Linked DNA regions of Cricetulus griseus. The protein of the gene in region 1 interacts with the protein of each later gene in a pairwise test. Links are inferred from orthologs where the notes say so. Each region holds a gene or a part of one and is shown on either strand. Other genes may lie near its edges.

The links.
Region 2: the proteins of Smyd1 (region 1) and Zbtb44 interact in binary tests that used the Homo sapiens proteins (3 or more experiments, as listed by UniProt). The link is inferred for Cricetulus griseus from reciprocal best matches to the Homo sapiens genes SMYD1 and ZBTB44.
Region 3: the proteins of Smyd1 (region 1) and Homez interact in binary tests that used the Homo sapiens proteins (3 or more experiments, as listed by UniProt). The link is inferred for Cricetulus griseus from reciprocal best matches to the Homo sapiens genes SMYD1 and HOMEZ.

What each region holds. Positions count from the first base shown.
Region 1 is NC_048601.1:62,947,830-62,958,083, reverse strand, and holds the start of Smyd1 (histone-lysine N-methyltransferase SMYD1), read left to right. Parts: upstream 1-4,531; 5' UTR 4,532-4,607; coding exon 4,608-4,744; intron 4,745-10,254. UniProt on the Homo sapiens protein: Methylates histone H3 at 'Lys-4' (H3K4me), seems able to perform both mono-, di-, and trimethylation. Acts as a transcriptional repressor. Essential for cardiomyocyte differentiation and cardiac morphogenesis.
Region 2 is NC_048597.1:143,467,566-143,477,819, reverse strand, and holds the start of Zbtb44 (zinc finger and BTB domain-containing protein 44), read right to left. Parts: upstream 6,349-10,254; 5' UTR 5,852-6,348; intron 1-5,851. UniProt on the Homo sapiens protein: May be involved in transcriptional regulation.
Region 3 is NW_023276807.1:210,067,465-210,077,678, forward strand, and holds the start of Homez (homeobox and leucine zipper protein Homez), read right to left. Parts: upstream 6,945-10,214; 5' UTR 6,771-6,944; coding exon 6,764-6,770; exon of another isoform or gene 4,467-6,763; intron 1-4,466. Other genes in the region: protein phosphatase 1 regulatory subunit 3E, read right to left, coding at 6,945-7,367, 7,453-7,869. UniProt on the Homo sapiens protein: May function as a transcriptional regulator.

The DNA.
Region 1 (10,254 bases):
CCTTTTTGGTCGGGGTTTATAAGAATTTTGAGAAATAAACTTGGGCCATTCAGTATTCACTGGAATGCCCTCCCGACTCTATTCTGTGTCTCTGTCTTTTTCTTAGTAACTTTAATTTGTCTACGTGCCATTTATCAATCCACACTCCCCCTCTCAAGTGTGAACCAGGCAAGTCAGATGTATGTGACCCAAAGACAGTTTCCTACACCCTCCCTGAAAGATCCTAATTTGAAAATTTCCTCCTAGCATGTGTCACAGTCCATTTGCTGATGCCCCAGCTGAATATCACAGATCAGTTTATAAAGAACATTTCTTTTTGACTCACGACACTGGAGGCTGGGGAAGTCCATGATCAGGTGTCTGTGGAGAAGTCCTCTTATTGGTAGGGCTTTATGCAGAGGTGCAGGGACATTGCATTATGGGACAGAGCATCTGTCTCACATCTTTCCTCTTATAAAGCCACAGTACTGTCAGATTAAGCATCCCAGATGGCCTCATTTAACTTTAATTACTTTCCACAGAACCTTCAAATAATACAACTGGACTATGTTTACATCCTCTATTTACCTCATGAGTCTATTTCAACATGAATTTTGGTGCACTCTATAGATAACACTTGTAAGGTGACATGTATAGTTTTGGGGACTTGAACATCTTCTAAGGGCCATCAGTCTTCCTAACACATAACTGTACTGTGATCAGATGAATAGGCACAGATAAAGCTAAAGCTCAGAACCTAATGTCTTTGTTTTTCATCTCAGTCTCAGGGCAGGTAGATTTCTTCTTTGACCATGGTTTAGGCTGACCGTGTCCCAGTACAGCATCTAGAGTAGGTTTGAGTTCTTGCCAGACTGAGCACTATCCTCAAAGCGAAGGCTGTGAATTACAGAGCAGGGTTGATACAGGGCACTGATTGGAAGCTAACTCCTTCATACTTTCATTTTCACCCTCTTGGCATTAGTGGTATTTAGTTTTTTGGTTTTTATTGTCTTTCTTATTCCTCCTCTTCCTCTTCTTAACTGTTTGAGAGAGGGTCATACTTTTTAGCACATGATCTCAAACTCACAATCCACCTTCCCTAGCCCCTAAAGTAGCTGGTGTGGTGGTTTTGAAAGGGGTAAACTAAACTAAAAGGCTTCACTTCTAGAAATGAAGGGACCAGACCCTCACTCAGCCCCCTGCTTTAGCAGCCATGACAGGCTACAGAAAAGACACATAGGCCTCTGACACAAGGAAACTCCAGATCCCCTGGCCTCCTGGGGCCCAGGGCCAAAACTGAACACAAAGAAACTCCAGATCCCACCCCCCCACCACCAGATACTTGGTTCCTGAGAACTGTTTGACCACCAGGAAAAACCAAAACCTCCCTTGTAGTCTCCGGGATACAGTTCTAAAAAATATTGGTATCTATGTACAACAGGCCACCTGCAAGTGATAAGACAAAGCCATAGAAACCACAAAATGTTCCCTCTCAGCACTGACCAATGAGAATAATTGGTACACAGGTATTTCATGCCAAAATATGACTTTGAGAAATTCTCCTAATTGTTTCCAAATGTCAACCAATCAGAAACCAACCTGTATCTACTGATGTAATCCTGTAACTTTTGTCTTTAAAACCTAGCAGTAGACAGGGAACTTCACTCGCTCTGGAGGCTGCTGCGTCAGCTAGCCAGACAGGGTTCCTGTCATGGTTGGATGAATAAAATCTTGCTTTTGCAGTTTGGTGGTTCTGTCTGTCTTTCTTGTGGTCTCTGGGGTTCTTTGCAACTTGGGCACAACAGTTTGAATGAAAATGGCTCCATAGGCTCATGTTTGAATGCTTGGTTCCCAGCTGGGGGACTGTTTGGGAAGGATTAGGAGGTGCGGCCTTGTTGGAGGAGGTGTATCATTTTGAGGTTTCAAAAACCAACACCAATGTAGCAGAGTGGTGGTGGCTCATAGCTTTAATCCCAGCACTGGGGAAGCAGAGACAGGCAGATCTCTGTGAGTTCGAGGTCAGCCTGGTCTACAGAGTGAGTTCCAGGACAGCCAGGACTATTTCACAGAGAAACCCTATCTCAAAAAACAAAGCAAAACAAAACAACAACAACAACAAAAGCCCAGTCTCTCTCCTTCTGCCTCCATCTTGCAGGTAAGATACAAGCTCTCAGCTACTGCTCCTGCACCCATGCCTGCCTGCCTGCCACAGTGCTTCCTGCCATAATGGTCATGGACTAACTGTCTGAAACTGTAAACAAGCCCCCAAGTTAAAATCTTTCTTTTTTAAGGTTCCTTGGTCATAGTGTCTCTTCGTAGCGATAGAACAGTGCCTAAAACAGCTGGGAGTGCAGGTGGGCATCACCACACCCAGCCCTGATGTTTACCTTTTCAGGCACTAGTCTAAAATGCTTTTGAGTTGTTTTGCTTTTCGGGATATATCTGAAATCACTGAGATTCTCTAGCTCCCATGTTTCGAGAATCAGGACTGCTGTATGTCAAGGGGGTTGGATGTGTTTCCAAGTCTCAAAGGAGTTTTGAGACAAGCAACTTGGCTGAAGATGCACTGGAACTCCTTGGCTGAAAGCACATTGGAACTTCCGGTGTATCCTGATAACTGGAGGAGACTGTGACAGGATAAAGAAAGCAGAGCAAAACAGCCACCACGGAATGAGTGCTTTATGGCATGCCAAGAGCTGTGCTGCCCTTGAACATATCACCTCATTTAAAGCTTTCCATGGCCCATGGAGGCAGAGATTGCCACGCTTGTTCCATAGGTTCCCTTTTCAGGTGGTAGCAGCAGACTCAGTGTTTGTGAGCTACTACAGTTGTAAAGATGTGGGAAGGTCGGAGGGTCTTCCAGAAACCAGTGTGTCTTGGTTTGTTTGTATTGCTGTAACAGAATGTCAGAGACTGTGTAATTTATAATGAGCAAAAATGTATTGACTCCTGATTCTGGAGGCTAATGATAGACCTTCTGTATCACAGAATGGCAGAAAGTCCCCTGTGGACAGAAGATGCGGTGGGAGAAGCCGGACTCATCCTTTTTTAAAGCAGGAATCCATTCCCTTGACAATGGGGTTAATTCATTTATGAGAGCAGAGCTCTAATGAACTAATCATTCCTGAAGGTGCTGCCTCTCCACACTGATTATGGTTAGGTCTCAAATTCAGGACAAGTCTCACTCAGTACCTGTGCCTCCTCCCAGTGCCCCTCACCCTGTCCCCTCCCAGGGCTGGGCCTCCTCTTCCCTGCCCCCAGCCTGATCCCTATATAACTTGCCTGTTTTAGCTAGCACCTCTCTTGACCTCTTGGCCAGGGCCACCTCTCAGTCAGGGACTCCTCTCTTGCTCTCCCATCCCTTCTCTCCTTTCATGGTTCAGTTTAGTCTGCCAGCCATGTTCAGCCTGGACTCTTCTCTTTGCCTGCTTCCTCCCTTATATCTACAATAAAAATCTTCTCCATACTCCTTCCTTCCTTCCTTCCTTCCTTCCTTCATTCCTTCCTTCCTTCCTTCCTTCCTTCCTTCCTTTCCTTTCTCCTCTCTCTCTCTCTCTCTCTCTCTCTCTCTCTCTCTCTCACTCCTTTTTTATTCAGTTATGTTTTCCGACACTTAAACTTTGAGGGTCAGACTCAAAGTTTAGAATCTAAACAGTCTAGAATCTAAACATACCCAGAGACTAAAAATACTACATAGAAGCTAGGCCACAGCGCAGAATCCATGAGGGCCTTTCCCTCAACCTCGCTCAGTGAGATCCAATGCTGGCTAAGGAGTGCTGTTAAGTTCGCAGGGATTTTAGGATTATCCCTATGGTGTCCTTCCTCCTGGGTGAGAGGGAGGGCAGGGCACGCTGATGTTTTCCTGGCAGCAGACATTGGCTTGAGGGGAGTTGGTAGAAAGGTGGGGATGGGTGCTGTTAGTTTCAAAGCCTGGCCCTCTGCATCCAGCTCTCTGCACCATCAGCGATGCTCTAAGCACAGGGCACCTCTGACCTCCATGCCATGGAGTGCGCTGCTGGGAGAGACCCAGGGACATCTGGTATGTGTATGCCAAAGGCCCATTTTAGTTTCTGCTATTTATTTCTTGCCATGGGGAAAGACGGGGTGGGATGGGCCAAGGGGCCCATCTCACTTGAGAAAGTCTGGGTCTGACAGCTGAAGGGTCCCAGAGCAGCCAATATTACCTTGCCTTTTCTCTCTGTCTCCCCCAGTTGTCTGCTTTTGATTGACAGAGACATCTGGAGGCTAAAAATATCCTACTGACCAAGTGCTCTTGATTTCAACTCAAGATGAGCACGACTGCAGTCCAGAACATACCACATGCAGGGATTATCTTCAAACAGGGTTTCATGCCAGGACCACACTAGCCTGTGCTCATTTTCTGTCTTGGCATCTTTTCCAAGTGGTGAATGAGACCCTTGTCAGGTCACTGCTTGTTTGCCTTTTCCCTCCTGAAATAGTGATGAAGGGGGAGGTGAGGGCCTAGTTCTGGAAAGGAGCAGGGAAGGGGAGGTGGCCTGTCCATTTATAGTCCTGCCCTCTGGGACATGAAGGTGCTAAATAGCAGCAAGGACAAGAGGCTTGGCTCAGTGTGAGCTACCCACACCACAGGTCTGACAGACTCTGAGATGACAATAGGCAGCATGGAGAATGTGGAGGTCTTCACTTCAGAGGGCAAAGGCAGAGGTCTGAAGGCCACGAAAGAATTCTGGGCTGCAGATGTCGTCTTTGCTGAGCGGGCTTATTCTGCAGTGGTTTTCGACAGGTATGGCATGCAGGAAGTGGCCTTCTCCACTACTGGTTTGACTGGTATCACACTCTCAAATTCTGAATCCCAAAATCATCAGGTGAAGGAATAAAGTTCAAGGGATCCTTAATTTGTAATTAAAATTTTTATTACATTTATTTATTTGTGTGTGTGTGTGTGTGTGTGTGTGTGTGTGTGTGTGTAGAACACGGACACCACAGTGTGGAACATATACTTGTCACAGTGAATATGGGAAGGCCAGAGGATAATTTTTGGTGTTGGTTCTCTCCACCATGTAGCCTCCAGGGATTGAACTCAGATAGTCAGTCTTATTGACAAGTGTCTCTGACAATGAGCCATCTTGCTGGCCCTTCAAATTTCACTTCTGATAGCTCTCTGTTGGTATTTCTTTTCTGCAAGGAGTCGTTGTCTCTAACTCTCTATGGCCCCCATCGGGGTGGCGAAGCTGAGTAGGGGTCTTTAGGCACATTATCACAGAGAATGTGGCTGGGAGGCTGGGGGTGGGTGGGTGGATGTGGTGAAGTGGGAAACATTTTCTTACAAAAATCTCTTTTAGAGTCTTTGGATATACAAAAGAGGCTAAAAGTCTGTATAAACCCATTAGACTATAAAACATTTGTTGAAATTTTAAGAAATCAGTACTAATTATAAGTAATAAAAGAATCCACTTACTTTCAAAAGAGTCTTTCCCAGTTTCTACCTCAGGGGTAACTTGTGCTTTACTTTAAATCAACTTTTTCCAGAACATTCTTATGTTACCTCAAACATTGATTTGCACTGAGCAAACTGGATAGCCACAGTTTGTTTGCTTGCTTGCTTTTATGGAAATGATATGCTTCAGGGTCAGATGAGCCTGCTTTTTCCTTTAAACAATGTTTCTGACTCTATCCTTGTGAGGACAGTAAGTCTACAGATACCTTGTTTGTTTTTGTTACTTTAAAAATTGTGTGTGTGTGTGTGTGTGTGTGTGTGTGTGTGTGTGTGTGTGTGTTCTTGTATGTAGGTGTGCATGTGCCATTGTGGACATGTGAAGGCAATTCTCTCCCTCCCCTATGTAGGTTCCAGGGATTGAACTCGGGTCCTCAGCTGTGGCAGTGGGCACCTTTATCCCCCGAGTCGTCTTGCTGGTCTTGATGCATCTTGTATATCCCCAAATATCCAGTTGTTTTAACTATGTGTTGAGCTTTCCATATTGGTCTGTAAACCACATGGGATATCATGTAGTAATATTACTGTAAATATTCCACCCTGTAAATATATGTACAACATTTTACTTGTCTATTTTCCAATCAAGAGACATTTAATGGGTTCCCATTTATCTAAAAATCTAACATTCCTGCAATTAAAATGTGTTCCAGTGTGCACACATACACAATGTGATTCTTCTCTAGCCATCGGTGTGCACAGCTACATGGTGTGATTCTTCTGTAGGGCCATTGGTGAGCACAGGTGCACAGGGTGATTCTTCTCTAGGGCATGTGATTAGGAGGAGGTTGCTGTTTTCAGCTTTAAAAGTATCTGTTAAAGCATCCCCATTTCCCTACAATCTTGTCTATATGGAACTATCAACATTTTAAAATTTTAAAAATAGTACTTAATCTTTATTTTAAAACAAGCAAACAACCTCCCTACATAGTGATTACATTAGAATGACAGTATTTTCTGATCACAGTTGGAGTGACATGTCTGGTGTTTGTGTGGTTTGAATGAAGCAGCCTCTGATAAGCTGGACAGGTGAGTGGCTACAGCATCAGCTGTCATGGGGTGGGTGCTTCAGAGATAACTTGGTTAGTATTTAAATTCTCTTTCCTCTGACCACACCTTCTAAGACCTTCAGGAAAACGCTGTGAACCAGGGCATGTGGCTCATTGTCATCCAAGGAGTTAATCAGAAGCCCAAGTGACACAAATAGCAATTCAGAGAAGTGTGTGTGTGTGTGTGTGTGTGTGTGTGTGTGTGTGTGTGTGTGTGTGTGCTGAGTACAGGTATGAAGTCAGCTAAATTTAGAGTTAAAATATAAAAATACAGCAACACACAGATGGCACATGCTATTCTTGGTTTGGTCACCACCATTGTGTACCTCAAAGTCCCTAGAGCCAGTCTAGCCAGATTCTGTTTCAAGACTCTGGAGTTGAGTGGGGTTTTCCAGTATTTTTTTTTTTTTCTTTTCTAAGACAGGATCTCACTATGTAGTCCCAGCTGGCCTGGAACTCACAAGGCTTGCTTCACCAATGTTGCCTCTCCCTACCTAATTCTGGATGAAAGATGTGTTCCACCGCACCTGGCTCTCAGTAGAGAGTTTTTATTAACTTGCCAGGCTCCTCCTCCTGGTTTATTTCATTCATTTTACTATGCAGTGGAGCTTTTACTAGAGGAATTTTTCTTCTCCATTTAATAACTTGAACGTCTTCCACGTTTATCTTTGAGTCTGTGTGCAGGTCATGTGTGGGCGTGGGGATGCTGTGCCCTGGATGGTGTGTGTGGGTCAGGTCAGGTGTTGATCCTCATCTGACACCTTGTCTGGGGCAGGGTTTTTTTTTATTGTTTTTGTTTGTTTAGTTTTTTTGGAGACAGGGTTTCTCCGTATAGCCCTGGCTGTCCTGGAACTCACTCTGTAGATCAGACTGGCCTTGAACTCAGAGATCCTCCTGCCTCTGCCTTCTGAGTACTGGGATTAAAGGCGCACCATGACCACAAGGCAGGGCAGGATGTTTTGTTTCATCTGTATATGGCAGGTTGAGAGGCCTAGAAGCTTTTAGAGATTCCCCAGTCTTCACCTCCTAGGAGAGCTGGGATTATAGATGTGTGCTATGCCATCTAACTTCATGTGGGACATGGGATTTGAACTCAGGTCCTCATGCTCTGTGAGCAAGCACTTTGCCTGCAGTGCCATCTCCTCAGCCCTTCTTGTGTTCCTTTTTATGGTGATACCTAAACTTTAAGCTCCTTTCTTGTTTGTTTAGTTTTATTAGTTTTATTTTTGTGTATATGGATATAAGAGTTGGAGTGTGCATGCATTTGTGTGCATGTGAGGCCAGAGGTTGCTGTTGGGTGTCTTCTTCAATTACTCTCTGTGCTACTTTTTTAATGTACATTGGTGTTTTGCTGCATGTTTGTATGTGTGAGGGTATAAGATCGTGGAGCCACAGATAATTGTGAGCTGCCATGTGGGTGCTGGGGATTGAACCAGGTCCTCTGGAAAAGCAGCCATCTCTTTAGCCCCTCTGTATGGTATTTTTGAGACAGGATTTCTCACTGAGCACATAGCTCACCAACTCAACTAGACTGGTTTCTAGGAAACTCCAGTGATCCTCCTGTCTCTGCGTCTCCAGTGCTGGGATTAAAGTTTCTATGGGCGCTTGTTGTGATCATTATTCTGCATAAGCGCTTTGCTGACTGATCCATCTCTCCAGCCTTTTTTATTTTAATTTAGTTTCTATTGACATTGCTTTTCTTAATTTTTCATGTCCAGCAAGGTAAGTTAATTCTGTGTCAGGCAGAATGAAAAGATAAATGGTTTCATTCTCAACAGTGACTTGGGCTTTGGCAAGGAGAGGAGATACTATCTCTGTCTCGTGCTGTCTGTCACCACTATCACCATCAATACCTTCACCACCATCGCCATCACCATCATCATCTCAGTAGGGCAGAGCTCATCACTGAGCCATTCTCCCAGCTGAGTTTAAAGGGTTTTTTGTTTGTTTGTTTGTTTTGTTTTTTTGAGACAGGGTTTCTCTGTGGCTTTGGAGGCTGTCCTGGAACTAGCTCTTGTAGACTAGGCTGGTCTTGAACTCACAGAGATCTGCCTGCCTCTGCCTCCTGAGTGCTGGGATTAAAGGTGTGTGCCACCAACACCCAGCTCCTGAATAGGTTTTATAATTTGCTTTGTTTATTTAAGAGGTCCTGTGGCTCAGGCTGGTCTCAGACTCATCCTATGCTGAGGCTGGCATTTAGTTCCTGGTCCTCTTGACTCTACTTATCAGGTGCTAGGATTATGGACGTATGCCACCACACTTGGCTTATACTTTGCTTTTAAAATTGTTACTGAATGCCGGGCGGTGGTTCCTTTAATCCCAGCACTCAGGAGGCAGAGGTAGGTGGATCTCTGTAAGTTCAAGACCAGCCTTTTCTACAAGAGTTAGTTCTAGGACAGCCTCCAAACAAAGCCACAGAGAAACCCTGTCTTGAAAAAAAAAAAAAAAAAAAAAAAAAAAGAAAGAAAGAAAGAAAAATTGTTACTGATTTTTGCTTTGCTTTTTAATAAAAATATTTAACCCCACTAAAAGATGCAGGCTCCAAAGTATTTTCTGAGGATGCCTAGATCCTTTTAAACCCTTGACACCAAGTTTCATTGCTTTTAGGTAGAGGGTCCTGGAAGTATTGTCTAGAGATGAAAAAGGCTATTCTCCAGGCCCTTCCCTATCTGCTGAGGATGCTGTACACAGAGTCAGGCCACAGAAGGGAACTGAATCACATGACCCAAAAGAGCTTACAGTTTGAAATTCTGTAGATTGCAGTGGGTTAAAGTGCAGCAAGAGAGGAGTTCTAAGTGAATAAAATGGAGCTTATTCTGATTATTATTTTAATATACTAGAAAGGCACAGTGACGCTGACAATGGGCAGTGCTAGGAACCCCAAAATCTCAATTCTACCTCCCTTTATTGAGATAAGGTTTCACTATGTAAAACCCCATGTTGTCCTCATGCCTCTGCTTCCTAAGGCTCCATACCTAACTCAATTGTGTGTGTGTGTGTGTGTGTGTGTGTGTGTGTGTGATGTGCTTATGAGTGCAGTTGCCAGTTCAGATGAGGGCTTCAGATTTCCCAGGAGTGGAGCTATAGAGGGCTGTAGGCCACCTGACATGGGTGTTGGGAACCGAACTCTGGCCTTTTGGAAGAACCATAAGCGCCCTTAACTGCTAAGTGGTCTCCTCAGTCCTCTCAATTCTCTCCCCCTCAACAACAACAGTAAATAATGATAGTGTTCCAGATGTCTTGAGTTTAGAGATAATTTAGCCTCTGGATTCTCCACGGATCCTAAGCTAGGGAAACATCAAAGTTTGTGTGAATGTACATATGTGACTTTTGTTTCCTAGGAGAAAGTCAATAGCTTTCGTGGCTTTCAAATGGTCTTCAATAGAAAAGTAGAGACCCACTGAGTTTATGTATTCCTTTCTGACACATAGGGAAACTGAGACCTAAAGGGATATTAACCTTTCCCAGGTCACAGTCACGGGGCAAGCTTGAGTGTCTCCATTGTGTCTTATCTAAGTCATCACTTACTGCTCAGACAACTTGCCTAACATGTGCAGGAAAAGGATATCTACTATTAACTTCAGAAAAATCAAAAGTTGATTCTAATCAAAAGTTGATTCTAATCAAAAGTTGATTCTAATCAAAAGTTGATTCTAGAGCCAGAGAATTGTTAGGTCCATAAAACCAGGTAAGAAAGAGGAATATGGTGGCTGGTGGCAGGACAGTTTAGTGGTTCAAGGACTAGCAAAGCCT
Region 2 (10,254 bases), on another chromosome or scaffold:
ATTGGACACAGAGGAAGCAGGACATGCAGGAGAGTTAAAAGCCACAAGCCACATGGCAGCACATAGATTAATAGAAATGTGTTAATTTAAGTTACAAGAGCTAGTTAGAAGAGCAAGCCTAAGCCAAGGCTGAGCTTTCATAATGAATAAAAAGTCTCCGTGTCATTATTTGGTAGCTGGCTGGCAGGACAGAGAAAGACTGTTACACCCATTCCCACAATGCAGGGATTTTTGTCTGGCCTGATCTTGTGCAGGTCTTGGTCATGCTGTTATAACATGAGTTTATATGAACAGCTGCCCTGTTGTGTCTATTAAGTACTATTTCCTTGAAGTCAGCCACCACCACCTTTGGCTTGCTCTTACAATTTTCCTGTCCCTCTTCCTAGAAGATCCTGAACTCTGGAGGTAGTACTATACATCTCTCATTTAAGGCTGGGTATTTCACACCTCTCTCATTCTTTGTACAGTGACTGGGTGGTCTCTGTGTTAACTATCATAATACTGGTGGTGTGGGGTAGTTATTTGTTTTATTTTGAAGAACTCAAACTTTATTGCATGAGACAGGACCTCATGCAAAAACCCAGAGTGACCAAAATTGTCTTAGGTCTAGGATGACCTTAATCCTCTTGTTACCAACACTGGAGTGCTGGCATTAGAGGCTCAGTCCTGTCACTACCTCGATTTACATAATGCAGAGAGACCTCACCTGCTAGGCCAGCACCCAGAGCTACAGCCCCAGTAATACTAGTTTTTAATAAGAATTGATGTTTAATCACTCCCAACTGTGAAATTTTCAGGTACAGAAAAATTTAAAAAGCCAAAACTAAACTTATAGCTGAATAAATAGTCATGCCTATCAACACTCTGTAATATACTTAAAAAAACAAACAAAAACCTATCCACTTTGTCAATCCATCTTGAGTTCTGATACCTTTAATAAAATCTTATCCTACAGGCAATTCTTGACATAGGGTCAGGACTCCCAAATTTCTTAGAAGGGGAAATCTAAGGATTTATAATAGATAAGACAAATACTTGTGATTTCTGGCCTACAATTTCAGTGTTCCTATAGTATAATGTGAATCATGTAGTTCCTTATGTATAGTACTGGAAATCAGTTCATTGTCTTGGCTTGTTACACTCAGTGGTGAAGTACAGAAAGTAGGAGAGTGCTAACTCTGAAAATACACTTGAATTTGAAACCTGGGTCTGCCACTCAATAGCTATGACATCTTAAACATGTCATTTAATTCTTCTAGCTATCAGTTTCTTTACTTGCAAAACGAAATACTAGTAGCAATATCTAAATGTTCAAATGAGCCTTGAGATAATTCTCAAAATATTTAGTGTAGGAAAAGTACAACAAATTGTAATTACTAAATTACACTCAGATTAGCCCACATAGCTATCACAATAGTTGCTGCATGGCTATACATACTTACTTTAGACAACCACTGCTCCCTCTGAAAACTATGTGAACATAGTATTTCAGACCACATAATTATGAATTTTTATCAAATTTATCTAATCTAAATAAAATGTTATCTTCATGTGTTGAAACGGCCTTTATGTCTGCAGATGGTTATGGATGCCAGTTTTTGTTGTGAAGTATAAAAGCAAATATTTGCCAGGCAGTGGTGGCTCACACCTTTAATCCCAGTACTGGAAAACAGAGGCAGGTGGATCTCTGTGAGTTTGAGGCCAGCCTGATTTACAGAGCTAGTTCCAGGATAGCCAGGGCTACACAGAGAAACCCTGTCTCCAAAAGTAAGTAAATAAAACCTCTATCAATTACATTTAGCTTTAAAGATGATTTGGGTGGGGGGTAAGGAAGGTACTAGGTCAGTCTTCCTCTACCACTTTCCTGGAGATCATCTACTGGCTAAACTGGCTGTCTAGCAAGTCTCAGGATTCTGCTACCTCTCTACCCATGCCCCAAATCCCGGGCTCCCACCCTTTCACACACTGGTGCCAGAGATCTGAACCCAGTTCTTCATGCTTGCTATGTCAAGCACTTTACCCATTCCCTAGAACATTTTTCAAGTAAAAGTTGGGAGTTTTTCTTTCATGAATTATTACTTAAAATATGACACCTGCAAAAGCAAGCTTCAAATCTACGTCTCTACACATTTCCAAAGGTTAGCCAAAGGAATCAGAATGTAATTATAAAACAAAAGTAGTACTAGAAAATGTATAGTCTAATTTTTTAGAAGGCAAAAAAAAATTAAACAAACAAACAAACGAAGTAGTACTATGTGGCTTCAGCCTACCCTACTGCTAACTCTCTGGCACTTGAGCCAATGTTTTGGTTTTGATTTCTGATGGTACTCAGGCTCAATCTAGGCCCTTGAGTCAAGTTTTCTTAAGTGAAGTTTTTGAAGGCACAGTTTTTGCAACATTATTCTGAACTATGTATATATTTTATACATTCAAAACTAAAATCCTGGGCTGGAGATGGCTTAGCACTTAGTACTTGCTTCCATGCACAGGACCCAGGATCAGTTCCCTGTATCCATATGTTAACTCACAACCAACTGTAACTCTAATTCCAGGAGCTCCAACACTCTCTTTCAGCCTCTGAGGGCAACAGGTGCACACAGACACATATGCAGGGAAAACACAGATACACATAAAAATGTTTAAATCTTTAAAAAAAAAAAATTCCTGCTGGGTGGTGGCTCATGACTTTAATCCCAGAATTTGGGAGGCAGGGGCAGGCAGATCTCAGTGAGTTTGAGGCTAGCCCAGTCTACAGAGCGATCCAGGACAGGCTCCAAAGCTACAAAAAAACCCTGTATCGAAAAACAACAACAACAACAACAAAAATCTTAAAAGTAGAGTGGAAGATGAAAAAGTCTGTCCTGCTAATTTGAATTGGATCTATCACTATGAACTCACAATTAAACAAAAGCAAAACGGCTGGGTGTGTTGGCCCACACCTTTAATCCCAGCACCTGAGAGACTGAGAAGGATTTGAGTTCCAGAGCAGCCAGGACTTTATAGTGAGACCCTGTCTAAGTAAATAAATTCTTAGTTCTATCCTTTCAAACAAGTCTAGAAACAGTAATACTCTGGTAGCAATGGTTATGCCAAACTTTCAGATATTTTTATATAATCCATTTCTCATCGAAATGACCAAGATTCCTAGGATAAACAGCCCTTTGCAGATGGCACAGCAAAAGCAGCCTAGGGTACCTTGTACCAGAATGTGCTCCAGAATAGAGGTGAGCCTAAGTGTCAAAAGACACTATAGTCAGTTAGAAAGAGTTTCTATGTCCAAACTGGTGACAATGTGGCCCTCAAAAAGGGTCCTTGTTGGTTATAAAATGAATGAACTCCCTGGTGGTATTATCCCCTCAAATCTCAAGTCTGTAATGGTTACCCTAGCTCTTTACTCTAAAAATCAACAAGGTGATAAAATCAAGCACTTAATCTGCATTTTAAGAAGAAATTTAGTTCATACCCAATAAAGAAAAATCTCAACTTTTCAGAGACTCATTTTAAGAGCTAAAAATCACTAAGGAAAGTTTAGTCAGAAACAAGTTACTTGCTTCCTGTCAAAGAGTTACTACCTTAAGGTAACATATAATCAAACTGCTAAACCACACCTTCACAAAAGACCTTGCAGCCACCACTTTAACATCAACTGTGTGGTGTTCCGATACAAAGTCCGGGGCATCACCTATTTAAGTATTCTTGCCAAATTAGGTTTTTCACTTTAAGCTAATTAAATCTTTGTTCCAAGGATGTCCAATCTTTTGACACTATTATTTACAGCTCTCAAAGAAACTGTACTATCAATCAAGTTACACACACGAAAACCTAATATTTTCAGTTTACAACTTTGTGTTGGGCTATATTGGGATATCCTTGGCCTTATGCAACCATCGATCAGCAGTCTGGTCTGGAACCAAACTCAGTTAAAAAGAAAGAGTAGTAAATGAAATGACACTATTATAGGTGGACAAGGTCAAGGCTAAACTGGCTCAAATGTTCTACAAAGCAACTGGTTTGGTCAGCTCAGTGCAAAAACAAACAAACAAACAAACAAACAAAAAAAAGAAAAGAAAAGAGAAAAAGGAGATAGTCTGGGTACTATCCTTTTCAACAAAAAGACATGACTAAATAAACATAGTCACCAAATGCAATTCATGAATCTTGACTGATCACAGCCTGTGGAGATACTTTGGAGCAACTGAGGAAATTTGAATGTAAAAATTTTGATGGGCACCGTTACTTAGTATTTTTAGGAAATATTTAAGAATCAAACGTGCTGGGCAGTGTTGGTGCACACCTTTAGTCCCAGCACTCGGGAGGCAGAGGCAGGCGTGTCTCAGTGAGTTCCAGACCAGCCTGGTCTACAAGTTAGTTCCAGGACAGCCTCCAAAGACACAGAGAAACCCTATCTCGAACCCCCCCCCCAAAAAAAAAGGAAAAGAAAGAAAGAATCAAACGTGGTGGTGGAAGAAGAAATCTAATTCTAGTACTTAGGAGGACAAGGCATGCTGTCTCAGCAACAGCCACAACAACAAAACATACAATATAGGAAAAACCGGTGATCACTGAATGTGGTACTGATATGGTCACTGTATTTTTTCGGACAACTTCTGTGAAACTGAAAAGTTTGAGGCCATAAAAGAAATTATATCACTCATGAGAAGTACAGCAGAAATACACCTGGGTTCAATTGTCAACATACTACTTGCATAGCCTAGAACGTGTTACAATTAATGTTACTAAGTTTCTGTCTCTTCTATAAAATTAAAATGTTATTATCTACATCATCCGGTTCTGAGACTAAGACTACATATATAAAAAGCAAAACACTGTTGCAGCAAAGTAAATCTGTTTTTTTGTAATTAAATATACAAAGTATAAGAAAACACTCATTTACATTCCACGTGGAAAACTACAAAAGACACAGATGAATTTTATAAATCAACTGGAAATCAGAGTGAATGGGAGGGAAAAAAATCAGGATCTACAGTATTTTTTTAAACCAAAAATTATCAAGAAAGCAAAAGTAAATATCAAATTTTTACCCAGCTTCTGGTATCTATTATATTGTAGTCTGCTTTTGGTATTAACTTATCTCCGCATAAAATTCTAACAAGCGGAAGAATTTTTTCCCGATAAACACACGCAACAGATTAGTATGCTGCTTATATATTTAAAAAATAAGTTTTGGTCTTAAATTCTGTAAGTTACTAGAAAGTACACGAACAACGCAGTTTACAATAGAATCCGGTTAAGGTTCACAAAAAATCAAACAGATACAATTTCCTTTAATCAGTAATAACTTAGTTGTCATTTCACTTACAGGCAACTCCTTTTTTTTTTTTTTTTTTTTTTAAGGCCGACAGTAAAATGACCAGATACAGAGATATCCTCAGGTAGGTGGGGGGTGGGGTGGGGGGGGAGAGGTGTGTTTGCATTCTCTTCCTCTTTTCTTTGAAAAGTGCGTTCTAATACCGGGCGTGGAGGGGAGGGGCGGCCGAGGAGAGGAGGGAACAAACAGGTCTGGGGCTCTCGGGTAGACCAGGTGAGCGGGTATCAACACACCTCACCAGCAGCACTGCATTGGGTTTTGGACGGATTGTCTTGCAAATCTGCTCCCCTGGAAGATCCGGGTGACTACTTCAGGTCCGCAGGGACCAAGGCCAGCCGCTCCCGACTCCCGGATTAAATACCAATGAGGGGACCTTGTGGGGTGTTTCCTCGCACGAATCAGAGTGACAAACCACGTTTCCTTTTCCCCGCCGCGTCCAGGTGGGCGACGCGTGGTGTCGGTTCCCGGGTTGGCCCGCCGTCTCCCTCCCTCCCTCCCCTTGCTGGCCCTTCCCTCCGTTACCTGCGGCGGGCGGTGCGGGGGTCCGGAGGCCTGTTACTCCTTCTCCTCCTCCTCCTCCTCCCCGCCAGACTGAGACGGCGAGGTGGCGGTGGCGGTGGCGACAGCGGCGGCGGCGCCGGCAACCCGGGGGGAGGGGGCGGAGCGCGCGGCTGGCTCCTCTCCTCCCCCGGGAGGCTCAGGGGACCCTATCTCGGGCCGCCGCGCCTAGGCCAGTGTGCAGCCTGGAACTGGGCGCGCATGGCGGCGCCGCTCACCAGCGCGCCCGCGAGGTGTGAGAGTGCGAGGCGCGACGGGAGCGCCCGGCGCCCGTGGGCCTGAGAGGAGGAGCGAGGGGCCCAGCCCGCTACGCGCGGGCGGCCGTTGGGGGCGGTTGCCGAGGGCGCGCGGCCGCTAGCGCTGGCCCGGCGCGGGCGGGGTGGGAAGGGGAAAGGGACTGAGGGGAGGGGAGGGGAGGCTGGGAGGGAGCCGCCGCAGCGCGCGTGCGGGCCGTAGCCGCTCGTTTCACTCCAGCCTGTTTGGGGGCACTTTGTTTGTGTCCCACAATGCTCTGCGCGGACGGCCGGGCTGGGGAAGAGGAGGGCGGGGCCGGGCTGAAGGAGGTACGCAGCTACTGCGCAAGCGCGGAGCGAGCTGTCCTTAGCCACTCGAGCCAGCCAGACACATACAAGTACCGCGGGCCTTGACCCGGTGTGTCCTCTTGTCTGCATACTTCTACATAAGCGCCATAAGGCCTGTCCAGTTTGTCCTGTAGCCGTGGTCTGAGCCTGCCCCAAGGGAAACGTTAGAACGGTTTGGTTTTCCTTGGCGCTAGAAGCCTAAAGAAACTGTTTTTGTTGTTGTTGTTTTGGGTTTTTTTTTTCCCTAGTGGTTTCTGTAGCTGCAAAGCACTCCAGCCCTTCTCTGTCGGGGAAGGAAATTGGGTGATGTGGACATTTTTTCTCACGTGGAAACTGAGGCCTGCCAATGCTTGTCCACAAGGGCCGCTGAGAACCTGACGAGCTCTCCTGCATTCTTCCCGATGGACAGGGATCCCTCGCGAGCTGTCTTGGCGTGTCTGGCATCCTCGCAGTGCTGTGAGGTTGCCCTAGCATTTTTCTGATTACCATGGCAGAAAGTGCAGTTCTGAGATGACTAGAAAAAAATCGGCCACTCGTTACCCCAACAGAGTGGCTTCTACAACCTAAAGCGACTGTGAACTATTCCCACCCCAACCGTAAACGGCTCTTCTCTGCCCCCGGGGCAGGAAATGTGCGGGTCACTTGACTGATGGGTCACTTAACTGATACTGTCTAAAGGGCTTTCAAGTTTTGGTCACCTTCAAAATCAGCGCTTAGGGTATTAAGACCCCCAAAACCCTAAGCTGTGACTTCCTTAGACCTCAGAGAACCAGACTTAGTGATTTAGCGCGGGTGGGTTGGTGGGTACTCCGGGAGTACCCCCGGTAGCAGGCGTCATTGTGCCTCCGGAAGAGTGGAGGAGGGCAGGATACCAGTCAAGGCGCTGCGCCTTGGGCGCTGTGCATTTGCATATGCATACTATGTACCCACAGCTCCAGCTTTTAAACCGAAAGACTCCTTTGTGCAAGGTAGGTTGATTTCCCAGCCAATAGACAGACACTTGACCTCTTCTGACTTTAATTCACCCTCCACAAAGCAAACCACCAAGCACCAGAGCACCCCTAATCAATGAAATCTACTTTCAAAAGTCAACAAAACCAAAGTCTATGTAGCCCTTCAAATTTCCAACAAATTTTCAAGTATATAGAAGGTATTATACTCTATCATGTTTTTAAATAAATTGGGCCTGTCTTTGCACTGAGAATTGAAGAATCTTACTATCTAGGGAGGTGCCTGAGCGTAAGGCTCTTGGTGGAGTATGTGCTGAAAACATATGTGTCATGGAAACAACTGGTCAAGAATCTAGTGGGAATAAAGTAGACATAAAGTTTTAGGGTAATAGACAGTCAATAAAAGAGCATTCAATTGGACTTTTCTAATTGTGACTCAAGGGGCAGTTGATGTTCATAGGACAGGCAGAAAACACACCACAACACACACACACAAACACACACACACACTCACACACACACACACACACCACACACACACACACACACACACACACACAGAGCTTTCATTTTCTTATCTCATTTCCTTTTCTCCCTTAAGCTTTGTCTATTTCTCATTTTGCCTCTAAAAATGTTATCATCCTCCTCTCCCATTCCCACCCTATGTCTGAAGAGTTTAGTAAGCAACAAGTAGCTGTTGATCTCTTAAAGGCAGAGTTCTAGATGCTTGGAGAGGGTGTGAGAAAAAAATACACAGAAGATTAACTGTTGCTGGAACCCTCTTCTGTATTTTGGTTCTGGGCAGGATCAGTTTCTGTGGCTTCTTCAGCCTCCCACCTCTTTTCTTCCTGAGCTAGCAGAGACTTGCCCTTGGGTTGCTGGAATAGGTAGACCTTTCTTTGACACCAGGTTGAATAATTCTGTTGGGAGGATTTTGTGAAACTGGAATCCTGTACACAGGTGAAACAAACAAACAGTATGAGGAACTTTTAATTATTAACTCAGTGTGGATGATTCTGAGGAATTCAAATTCCAGGCAAATTCCGGGGGGGGGGGTATTTTATCTATAAGCTGTTTGGGAGACTCGTTTCTGGTAAAAATGGTACTCTCTCATGGTAGACCATTACTGCTGAGTAGGAACTCAGTTATTTAGACCAAAACATATTTCAGAGGTAGAATGCTTTATACTCACCAGAAAGATTTCTGGTCTGACTGGAATTATTTCATTGAGAGCCCATTACTGCACAAGCTTACTTCCTGATAGATTCTTCCAACTGTATAAACAAAAGTCAATCTCTTTTCCTTACCTTGAAACATGCCGCTCTAATGTTCCCATTTCACCATCCTTTCAGTTGGTTGGGTCAACTTTGTCACTTTTCTACCCTACTGTAAACCAGTTCAATTGAATGATTCCTGTTAAATATGTTCTTCCCCACTGTCACCATCCTGAAATAGAGCAGATGGTACCTAGAAAATTGTAATATTGCTTACCTGGTTCCCAAAAGACTACCATCTCTTCACTGACAAAGCAGTAGCCAGAGTTGTAATGCTTGGCAACCATGTCAGCCAACAGCCAACAATTTCTATTGTTTTCAGGTAAAGTCCCAAGCTCTTACTGTGGCTTTCATAACACTACTGGCTGGGTTCTTCCTTGTCTCCTTCAAGAAACATGGCAGTCAAAGAGTTACATTTTTTTTTTTTTTTTTTTTGGTTTTTTGAGACAGGGTTTCTCTGTAGCTTTGGAGGCTATCCTGGAACTAGCTCTTGTAGACCAGGCTGGTCTCGAGCTCACAGAGATCCAACTGCCTCTGCCTCCTGAGTGCTGGGATTAAAGGCGTGCGTACCAACACCTGGCTACATATTTTTTTTTAACCTCTAAAATAACCATGCTTTTTCTTGCATTACATTATTTGGATATTGATGTAGCCAGTCGGTGGTGGCACACTCCTTTAATACCAGCACTCGGGAGGTAGAGGCAGGCGGATGTTTCTAAGTTCGAGACCACCCTGATCTACAAGAGCTAGTTCCAGGACAGCCTCCAAAGCCACAGAGAAACTCTGTCTTGAAAAACATTATTTGGATATTTTTTTTCTCCATCTTCAGATCTCTTCTTTACAGATTTGATAGTTCTATGTGATACAAATTGAATAATGTAAAACGTATTCGTTACGTAACTATACTGTCTATAAAATTGGTAAATTGTGTGCCGTTTGGGCTCACTGAGAAGCTGGCTCTAGAAACGGGGTTGCCTGCCCTCCCCCCATTTAAGATGCAAGCATGTTTTTCTCAAATCTTCCAAGGCCCCTTTGTCTGTGGATGAGCTGCCATCCCAGCACACACATACCCCTGTAATGGCAAGAGGGAAAAAAAAAGCCAAATAACGCAAGAATAAAATCATAGTGTCTTTGAAAACAGCTCTAACTAAACCATTTCTAATAGAGGTTACTATTGTTTATCCCATTATATTAAAATGACTGCAGTAGGGATAGGAAACTAAAGGTTCATCTGACTGATTTGGCTTGTCCAGTTGGTTTCTGCCAGATGGTTTTCAAAATCCAATTTGATGATGTTACCTTTCTGCTGCTATTTATTCTTTTCCTTTGAAGCATTTCCTGAGGTGACACTTTGCCTCTCTAGCTGGCTGCCTCCATGGGGCTTCCCTAGTCAGTGTCTGCTGGATTTTTTAAGTGCCCAATTGGATGATGTTTTGTTGTTGTAGTTTTCTTATTTCACCAGGTCCTCCCACCCTTCAGCCCCAAATAAACACACAGAGACTTATATTAATTATAAAACTGTGGCTGATGGCTAAGGCTTCTTATTAGCTAGCTCTGTCTTA
Region 3 (10,214 bases), on another chromosome or scaffold:
GCTCTCCATACTGTCCCACTATCTAACACGACAAAGGAATCTCATTGGGTTGTCTTGGGCCAGGGCTGCCAACCCCTCTGTACCTCCTTGTTATCCAACTTTTACAGTCAAAGGACTCCAGCAAAAGGGTTGGCAGGATATCTCAGGGGGTAAAGGTACTGTTTTGGATGGTTTTATGTCAACTTCATACAAGTTGAAGTCATCTGTGTGGACAGAACCTCAAGAAAATGCCTCCTTAAGAAAGGGCTATAAGGGCTGGAGAGATGGTCCAGTGGTTAAGAGCACTGGATCCTCTTCCAAAGGACCCAAGTTCAACTCTCAGCACCCACATGGCAGCTTAGAACTGTCTATAACTCTGTTCCAGGGGATCCAATGCCCTCATATAGACATACTGATGTACTTAAAATATAAACTATTAAAGGGCTATAAGCAGACCTGTAAGGCATTTGTTTAGTGATTGAGGGCCCAGCCTATTGTGGGTGATGCCACCCCTGGGCTGGAGGTCCTGGGTTCTATAAGAAAGCAGGCTGAGTAAGCCATGAGGAGCAAGCCAGTAAGCAGCACTCCTCCATGGCCTCTGCATGAGCTCCTGCCTCCAAGTTCCTGCCCTGTTTGAGTTTTTGTCCTGACTTCCTTCAATGATGACAGTGCTGTGGAAGTGTAAGCCAAATAAACCTTTCCTCCCCAACTTGCCTTTTGGTCATGGTGTTTCACTGCAGCAATAGAAACCCCAACTAAGGTACTTACAGCAAAGCCTAAAGATCTGAGTTCTATTCCTAGGACCCACAGTGAAAGGGGGGAGGAACACCCTGACTCTAAAATTATCCTGACCTCCACAAGTGCCCTCCAAGTAAATAAAATTATTAAATGATAGCTAGGTATGGTGGTCCAAACCTGAGACATCAGATGAGGCTCACAGAACAAACCCCTTTTCTCTCCACATTAGCTACCTGTGCTGTAATACCTGGGCTATATATTTACAGAGATCAGTGCTCTTAACATCATCACCCAAGGAAGCCCAAGGCTGGCCACAGAGACCTTACCAGTTTCTGGCCACAGAGAAGGAAGGGGACTGGTGGGAAAGGAGGGGGATGGTACAAGAAGTAATCTCTTGGTTTTGAGACAGGGTCTCTCTGTGTAGCCCTGGCTGTCCTGCAACTATGTAGACCAGGCTGTTCTCCAAACTCTGAGAGATTCACCAGCTTCTACCTCCCCAGTTCTGGGATTAAAAGTGTGAACCACCACCCAGCTTTTCTTCCCCCAAAACAGGGTTCTCTGTGTAGTCCTGGCTGTCTGGAACTCACTCTGTAGACCAGGCTGGCTTTGAACTCACAGAGAACTAACAGCCTGCCTCTACCTCTTGAATGCTGGGGTTAAAGGTGTGCACCACCAAGCCCAGCTAAGGAATCTTTTATGTTAACCTTTGCCCTTGCCATAACAATCATGAGTAACAAGCTATGACCATCAGGAGGCCCAAGTGTTAAGTCCTGACTTGGAAATACACTGACAAATTACAACTACTGCTGGTTCCTTCTCACTTCCGGATTTGTGTTCTCTGGGAAGGAAGTGAACCCAAAGATCTCTGTAGACATGCCTTTTGTGTTTCTGGTTGTGTGTGACTGGCAAGCATCCAGAAGAGCCTCCAACAAATACAAGCTAGAAGCAAAAACATAGAAGTTGGAAATTGAAGAGTTAGGGCTCATTATAAAAGAAATGGGCAATCGTGTTAAAAAGCAGCTTGGCACAGTAGCACAGCAATCCTAGCCCTCGGGAGGATAAGCAGGAGCATTACACATTTGACATCAGGCTGGGCTGTGGCTGCCCTGCACCACCACTAAGTCTGAGTATCGAGAAACAGGAGGTACCTGTGGTTATGCTGGAAAACAATTCATAGAGACCCCGTGGGGTCTGGGTCCCAACACTGGGCTAAGCAATAGAACCATGTTTCAAGTCAAAATATCAGAGAGGAAAGGGAGAATGAAAGAAGGGCCAGGAAAAGGTGCCAAGAGCTTCTGGTTGCAAAGGGCCAGGAGGGTATACAGGGGTGACAACTAGTGTTCAGCAGGCTGACCCACCAGATGAGTAATGGAGCAAGGCTGTGGTATCACTGGCTGTAGATAATTGTGTCTGTCTGTAATTTCTCCCACGAGCCACTTCATTTCTTCCCTAAGAACTGCTAAGCATGTTTTCCCATTGCTTGTGTGTTTATCCCATGTATATATTCCATCTATTTGTGCACACATACAGCTGTGGATAGTCAGGAAGATGATTTCTGCTTAAGCTGTATAATTTTGATGAATAGAATTAACAGTAGGATTATTTTTCATTACTTAGACTGACATAGGATTCTCAGGCATAAAGACAGCCTTTTACACAGACAGCTAATTTTAGATTCCTGAACAAATTCAAAGCAAACTAGTTGCCCCTACATGAAGTCATTTTCCCAGGTGTTTTGCTAACTCAAGGTCAGAGCTCAAAGTAACTTTAGTAGACATAAATGGACTTTCTGCTTGTACTCCCTACCATTCAAGGTTTAGCTAATTAACTATTATTGTTCAAGTATTGAATTCCAGTGTCATTTTCTGTTTGGGAAAGAGCTATGTCCATGGCCACGGGTTACTCACTGGCCTGCCAATGTGACCCCTCTAGGAGAAACTCTGTGACTTATCTTGTGTTATGAGAATGGGTCAGGCCCTGAAAACGTAACATATAACCTATCATTCAGAGTTTGGCTGTGGGAGAGAAGGGTGTAGAAAGAGATATGAGAAGGGTTACAGAGCTAATTAGGAAGCTGTGAAGAGAGATTTTTCAGAGAGAATTTTTCAAGATGAAGTAAGTTATCACCAGAAAGTGTCTGTGTTTTCTTATTTTTCCCCTCAGAAAAAGTCTAACCCTCAGATAGGTAAGAATTTTCCTAAGCCCTCACTACTCTGAGGTTTACTCTTGCGACCCTGGAGCAGATCTGGGAGCTGGCCTTTCAGGCTATGGTAAGGAGAGCTACCAGACAGGTAGGTGTAGGATGCTTTCTGAAGTCAAAGGGACTTTGCTGGTATTTCTGCTGGGATTCGTCAAGGACAGTAGTGTTCTCTTGTGGCACTTTCCAGTGCATGGGAACCACAGAGAGAGTCTCCACCAGAGCACCTTAATCTGAGCAAATACTAATAACTATTTCCCATGTCTGGCTGGACTAAGACAGCAAGGGGGTGGGAGTAGACGGCTGTAGCTCTGCTCTCCCTGGGCACACTCCTCTTTGCTTACTGGCACTGCAAGAAGTGTAGGTGAATCTTGGAAAGAACGGTGTCAACAAAGAAAGGAGTCTCACTTTTTTTTGGTGGTAGAATTTATGATTTTGCTACACTAGTCCACTTACAAGGTAAGGAAATGCCAGAGACAGGGAGAATCTTGAACTCATGTACCAGGAAAGCGACATCTGAACAGGAAAGTCTTTTGGGAATCTCAAAGGGACTAGGCACACAAATAACACACAAGACAACACATAATAGCCCCTCTCCCCCGTTTTACAAGGTTTGTGGTACAGTGATAGCTTAGTTGGTTGTGGGTTCCAAGAATGAGGCACCTATTATTTGTGTGCACAAGGAGGTAGCTCAGTCCAGGTCATCCAACCTTGGGGACTAGAGAAAAGTATCCACTTATTCTTAAGTGTGTAGCAGCTCAGTAAAGAACCAGAAAATGCTGGGTGTTGGTGGCGCACACCATTAATCCCAGCACTTAGGAGGCAGAGGCTGGTGGATCTCTGTGAGTTTGAAGCCAGCCTACTCTACAGAGTCAGTTCCAGGACAGCTATGGGTGTTACACAGAGAAACCCTGTCTCAAACAAAACAAAACAAAAACAAATAAAAAACAACCAAAGCAAAGAACCCAGAAGACTCCTATTCATCCAGATGTCCCCTCCCAAGCTCACATTTACCTAATTGATAATACCAGGGGTTCCAGAGAGGAAGCCCAGCAAAGACCACCTAGCAGTTGTCCTAAGCCAGGAACCTTTCTCAAGGAACATCAGAGTTTACCTGGTCATGCAAGAAAAAAAAAAATCTGGGCAGTGGTGGTACATGTCTTTAGTCCCAGCAGGCAGGGGGATCTCTGAGTTTGAGGCCAGCCTAGACTACAGAGCCTGGACTACAGAGCGAGTTCTAGGACAGGCTCCAAGACACAGAGAAACCCTGTCTCAAAAAACCTAAATAAATAATGTACCTAGTCAAGGATAATGGAGGGAGAGGAAGGAAAGATGCCACGCCAGGTGGTATAGCGGGTTGGCCAGAGCCAGGAGAGAACCCAGTGTATGGAAAGCTGGCATTTACATTGGTTCCCGAGTTCTCTAGCAGGCTCATGGGCTAGTGCCTTTCTGACCCTGTAGAACTGGAATGCTGGCACAGGAGAAGGTGGGGTAAAAGTCTGGGCCCCTTGGAGGACAGGAAGGCACAGCATAATGAATGATGGTCTTTCCCTATGATAGAGGATATATAGCAAAGTTTTTAATTTTGTTCTTAATCAAAGAAAAATACATACCACCATGATTACCCACACAGACTATGGGAACCTCCTGGGCTCACAATCCCATACTCTTGAACAAATTACTGAGTCTGGACTTATTTCTAAAAGAGATAATGCTCAAGTCACAGTGCTGTTTTAAACATGCATGTCACACATTTAGCACACAAGTTAAATAGGATCTGTTAAGAAGTAACAGTCACACACACACACACACACACACACACACACACACACACACACACACTAGGAATGATGCCACCACAATGGAACCTCCACCCAGTCTCCCTGGGTTCCTTGTTGAAGATTAGAGAGTGACCAGAGTTTGGTGGTTTCCAGTACAGTGCCTCCTGCGACTTTGCTGAACCTGAAGGTGATCCCCAGGAAACATCAAACTGTTTTCTGTACAAGGTCAGAAGATGCTTAGATGTGAATGTTTGATGAATGACTGCAGGGGCAAAGGGACAAGCCCCAAACTGAATTCTGAATGATGTGTGGGTACCTGGCAGGGAAGAGGTGGAGTGAGAAACTGGCTGTGGACAGGGATTTCTCAAGGGAAAGGGGATGCCCCGTAGAGACCAACAAGGGTGAAGAGTGGAAATAAAGGCAAAAGTCCTACATGTTCAAAGAAACAAGTGAGGGGGCTGGAGAGATGGCTCAGAGGTTAAGAGCACTGGCTGCTCTTCCAGAGGTCCCGAGTTCAATTCCCAGCAACTACATGGTGGCTCACAACCATCTGTAATGAGATCTGGTGACCTCTTCTGGCCTGTAAGCAAACATGCAGGCAGAACACTGCATACACAATAAATGAATAAATCTTAAAAAAGAAAGAAGGGAAAGGGAAAGACAAGGAAAGGAAAAACAACCAGCAAAACCCAACTCTCACCTGGAGCCTCCCTAGGAAGGGCATGAGGTGTGAATGTGGGCATTGCATTAGGCTCCAGGTTCTCCATTTCATTGACTTGGATATGGATCAAACTGTCACCTCTGCCTTCATTTTTTGTTTTCTATTTCTTATACCCATGACCTCCAGAGTTCCAACTGTTCCATTCTGGGGCTACCATGCATCACTTTCCCTAACAGTAATACTGGTCTCCGTTTTCTCACGGGACTGGGGCTCTAAGTCTGTGGAAGTTAAGAGCAAATGGCACAGGGTGAGCTGTGGCGTGGAACACACTGAGGCTATGGGCTGCTTATGGGCTGTATCCTGGATCATCTGTGCCCCACTCCCAAAAAGTGGTGTGTGTGTGGGGGAGACTATCCTCATCTCCAACCACAGACTCACTGTGCTAGGTAAGCCTTGCTGCTGCTTTTAATTTTCTGAGACAGTCTCATGTAGCCCAGGATAGATTAAATAATCAATCATATTAGCTGGCTGGCCTCAAACTCAACAGTCTCCCTGTGTGTGTCACAACACCTGGCTTGCCCTGTGGGCTTTAATTGTAGCACTAGATTGGAGAATACAGTTTCTAACCTATACTGTGCCATGAACAGATCATGAGACACCAAAATGTAGCCCTAAAAACATAGTGGCTCACACCAATAACCCCAGCACAGCAGGGGCTAGGGCAGGAGACCCTGGGCTAGAGACCCTGTCCAGAAAAAAAAAAAAAAAGGAACCTTAAGGGACCACCTAACTCAAATCCAATTTCTCACAGAGGAACCTGGAGTCCAAAAAGATAAAATAACCTGCTCAATCATACAGATACTTGGTGGTTTCCTCTTCTTTCAGAGGCACAAAGAATAAATCAGTAGTGATTTTCATGATTCACTGTCCCTCCGCAGACAGTCCACAAAGTGCTTCAAGGTTTTAAGAGGCACCCAGAAAAGTAAGGCTGGCATTCATTTTTCTGGAAGCCTGATTATGCAAACCCCTTAGATGCCCCATTATTTGACTACAAGGGCAGGCTTGGAGTTGGTTTTGCCACCATCTGCAGATGCCACCAAGGCTCGCCCCGTGGCTGAAGGACTCTCTCCCATGTTTCCTTGAAGACTGAAGCCAGGAACTGCTGAGAGTCAAGGGAATGCTGTCACACTGCCAGGGCCCAGGGGCAATGGTCAAATTCCTGGGGTTAAGCAAGGCAATTTCGGCTCAGATAAAGCTAGGGTGGGCAGGGCACGGGGACCTGAGGTGGTAGGGCCAGTGAGAGGGAAGCAAACCGAATGACTTCACTGGGCTTCCTAGCCCAAGGAGGCTTCACTTTCCAGAGCCCTTCTGGGCCTCTTATCTCGAGTTCCTTCCGCTTACACCTACCTGCCATTTTCCACCCTAATCTCTTGAGTTTCACAGACGGTTTCCAGCCACCTCGACTTGACTCTCTGGGACCGCCCTCCACCCATCTGCCAATTGTGGTTCCCGGGTTCCTGGCGCCACAGTCTCCCCCCACGCCTGGGTGCCACTGTTTTGTCCCTGCTGTGGCCAGCAGGAGCCTAGTTCAAATAAAATGGATCCAGCCCTGGGGCTCCGCGGCTCCGGCACCACCAGGGTGCTCGGGCCCAAGCAGCGCGTAGTCCCGGCCACCGTTGTTGTCCCAGAACTCGCGGCCGGTCACGCGGTAGCGCAGGGCGAAGAGCAGGGCGCCGCCGACCGGAGGCGCCGGCAGGCGGAAGGAGAAGCGGTCAGCCCGCGGCGGGGCCGGGGCAGGGCCGGCGTAGGCGGCGGGCGACTCCCGCAGGCTGCGCCAGCCGTCCGCGCTCCAGCGCACGCTCACGCGCTTCTCGTAGGCCAGGTCCAGCACGCGCGCGCTCCCGGCCACGCCCAGCGGGCCCGCGTCGGCGCGCTCCAGGCAGATGCGCTGCGCCTGCAGGCGGGCGGCGAAGCCGGGCTCCAGGGCGGGCTCCAGGGCCACGCGCGCCTCCTGAGGAGAGAGGGCGGGGAGGCGGGTCAGAGGAGGGCTTGGAGCGCGGAGGCCGAGGTCCCGGGGACGGGGGCGGGGCGCCTACCTGGAGGCCGCGGGCGCGCGGCGGGCACGGCGCGAAGTGGCGCAGGGCGTCCCTCTGCAGTTGCACCTGCACGTGGCGGGGCACCCGGGGCGGCTCCCCCGGGCGGAAGCGGCGGACCACGACCAGCTCTAGCCCCAGCGCGTCAGCGAAACGCACTCTCTTGCGAGTGTCAGGGCTGCGGCTGCGGGCTGCCCGCGCCCCGCCGCCACCTGCGGGCGCAGAGCGGGCCCTGCGCCCCCGACCCGGAACGTGAGCCCGCGAGCGGGCGCCGGGCCGGGTCCCGCCCTCCCCCGGCTCCTCCTCCGACTCCTCCTCGAGGCTGGGCCGCTGGCTGCGGTAGTAGGCACGTTCGGTCAGCGCTGCTATAAAGCTCAGGTTGCGAGGGATGTCGGTGCGCGGAGGCCGCTCGCGGGACATGGCACCCCTGCGCCCCAGCGGGGCCGGCGCACAGTGCCCGCCCGGCGCGTCCTCACTCGGCCACCCGCTCCGCGTCCGCGCATAGGGCGGAAGGCTGCTTCGGCAGCTGCTAGCCCTGGACTCGCCTTCTTGCTGTCACCTCGCGTTCTTGGCCTGGCGGGTTTCCTTGACCACCTTTCCCTGCCTTTGGCGGTCAACCCCACTGTCTTCTAAGACTGTCGGTCCTGCCGGCTTCCCGCTGTCTGCTCTGAGCGTGCGCTCAACGGCGCTCTCCCTTCGGTTCTGCGGGCCTCGCTGACCCGGCCCCCGCCCACAGCCCTCTGACAGGTGGCTCGGCATCTATCTTCCCTGCTGCACCAGGGGGCGGGACTGACTCCACCCTCGGGGTCCCAAATGAGTAACTCCAGTATGAGAAGGGTTAAAGCGGGGAGGAAAGAGTAATCCTTCATTTTCTTGCATGGAAAGTTCAAAATGCCGAGAGGCTAATTCTCTTCCCCAGAGCTCAGTGTTTTCTTAAACCCAGGCTACAGGTTTGGGATAGAGGTGAAGATGGGCGTAGTGAAAAGAAAGGCCGCGAATCCTAGGTTAAGTCTTCCGAGTGGAAAACGCCAAAGGACGAGCGGTGGACACAAGACTGGCTATTTTCCAGTTTCATTTTTGAAAAACAAGCTAGTGACAATTTTACAGTGGTATGTAAAATGTGTTCTAACTTCTCTACTGATCTTTTTTATTTTCAAAGATTTGCTTCATTTTTTAAATTACGTGTATGGTGTCCGGCTTTATGTATACAGGAGTGCAGGTGCCCACAGGGGCCAGAGGGGACATTAGATACCGTGGAGCTGGAATTACAGGTGCATGTGAGCTGCTAGAAGTGGGCGCTGAGAATCCACTAGGGTCCTCTAGAAGGGTGCTATGTGCTCTTAACTGCTGCCCCATCTCCCCTGCTCTCTACAGAGGTTTACAACACAAAACACTAGGCATGATTACAGTAATTGTTAACATATTACAGAGAGAAAGTTGAGAGATGGGGAGGGAGGGAAAACATCTTGCCCGGTGTCACATAGTTACTAATTGTGGGGCTAGGTTCTCTTAGTCATTTAGTTCTTATACATTAAAACAGATAATGACGATACTAGTATTTTCATTAAATGATAATGTTGACATCTAATATAAAAGTGGAAGTTACGGAGCTGAAAAAATGGCTCAGTGCTAAGAACATGCACTGCTCCACGGGATCTGCTGCCCCCTTCTGGCCTCCAAGGCCACCTGCACTCACGTAAGCATAGACCCTACGTGGACACAAACAACCACATAATAAAATAAAAAAATACGTATTTTTAAATGAAATGGGCTGGGCATGGCGACTCACACCTTTAATCCCAGCAGAAGCAGGCAGATCTCTAAGTTTTGGGCCAACCTGGTCTACAGAATGAGTTCCAGGACAGCCAGGGCTACACTGAGAAACCCTATCTTAAAAACCTAAAATAAAGCCATGTGTGGTGGCACACACCTTTAATTCCAACACTAAGGAGGCAGAGGCAGACAGATCTATGTGAGTTTGAGGCCAGCCTGGTCTACAAAGTGAGTTCCAGGGCAGGCAGGGCTGTTACACAGAGAACCCTTGTCTGGAAGTAGGAAGGAAGGAAGGAAGGAAGGAAAGAAAGAACTAAATAAATAATAAAAGAGGCCAGGAATAGTGATGCATATGTATGCCTTTAATCCTAGCAGTCAGGAGGCAGAGGCAAGTAGCCTGGTCTATATAGTGAGTTCCAGGACAGCCATAACTATGTAGACAGACCCTGTCTCAAAAAAAAAAAAAAAAAAAAAAAAAAAGAAAGAAAGAAAGAAAATGTGAAGAAAAAAAATGAACTCCCTAAATTCATTTATTTATTTGTGGTGCTAAGTTTTGAACCCAGGGCTTCATGCATGCTGGGCAAATACTCTACCACCGAGCTAGTTAAAGTCTCTAGATTTATAACAGGATGATTTAACAAAATGAAACACAAGCAACTCAAGTGGAAATAAACAGACTTATGCTATCTTATTATTATACAGTTCATCCCTGTGTATGTTTTCACAGCAGCTTTAAACATAGCAGTAATAGCTAGGACTCGTTTTTAAAAACCATATTGAATTTTGTTTCTTATTTCACACATAAAATGCATGAACATACTTTATGTCTTAAGGTGTAAAATAATTGTACGCTAATTAATGTTACAGTCAGGCAGTTTAAAGGGATCCTCCTTGCTCTGATGAAATAACATGTCACTGATGTAAAACCAAGGTGGTTCCTGGAGAGTTTATGGCCTCAAGTTTTTGGCAAAGGGTCTGCTGCCTTGTTTACA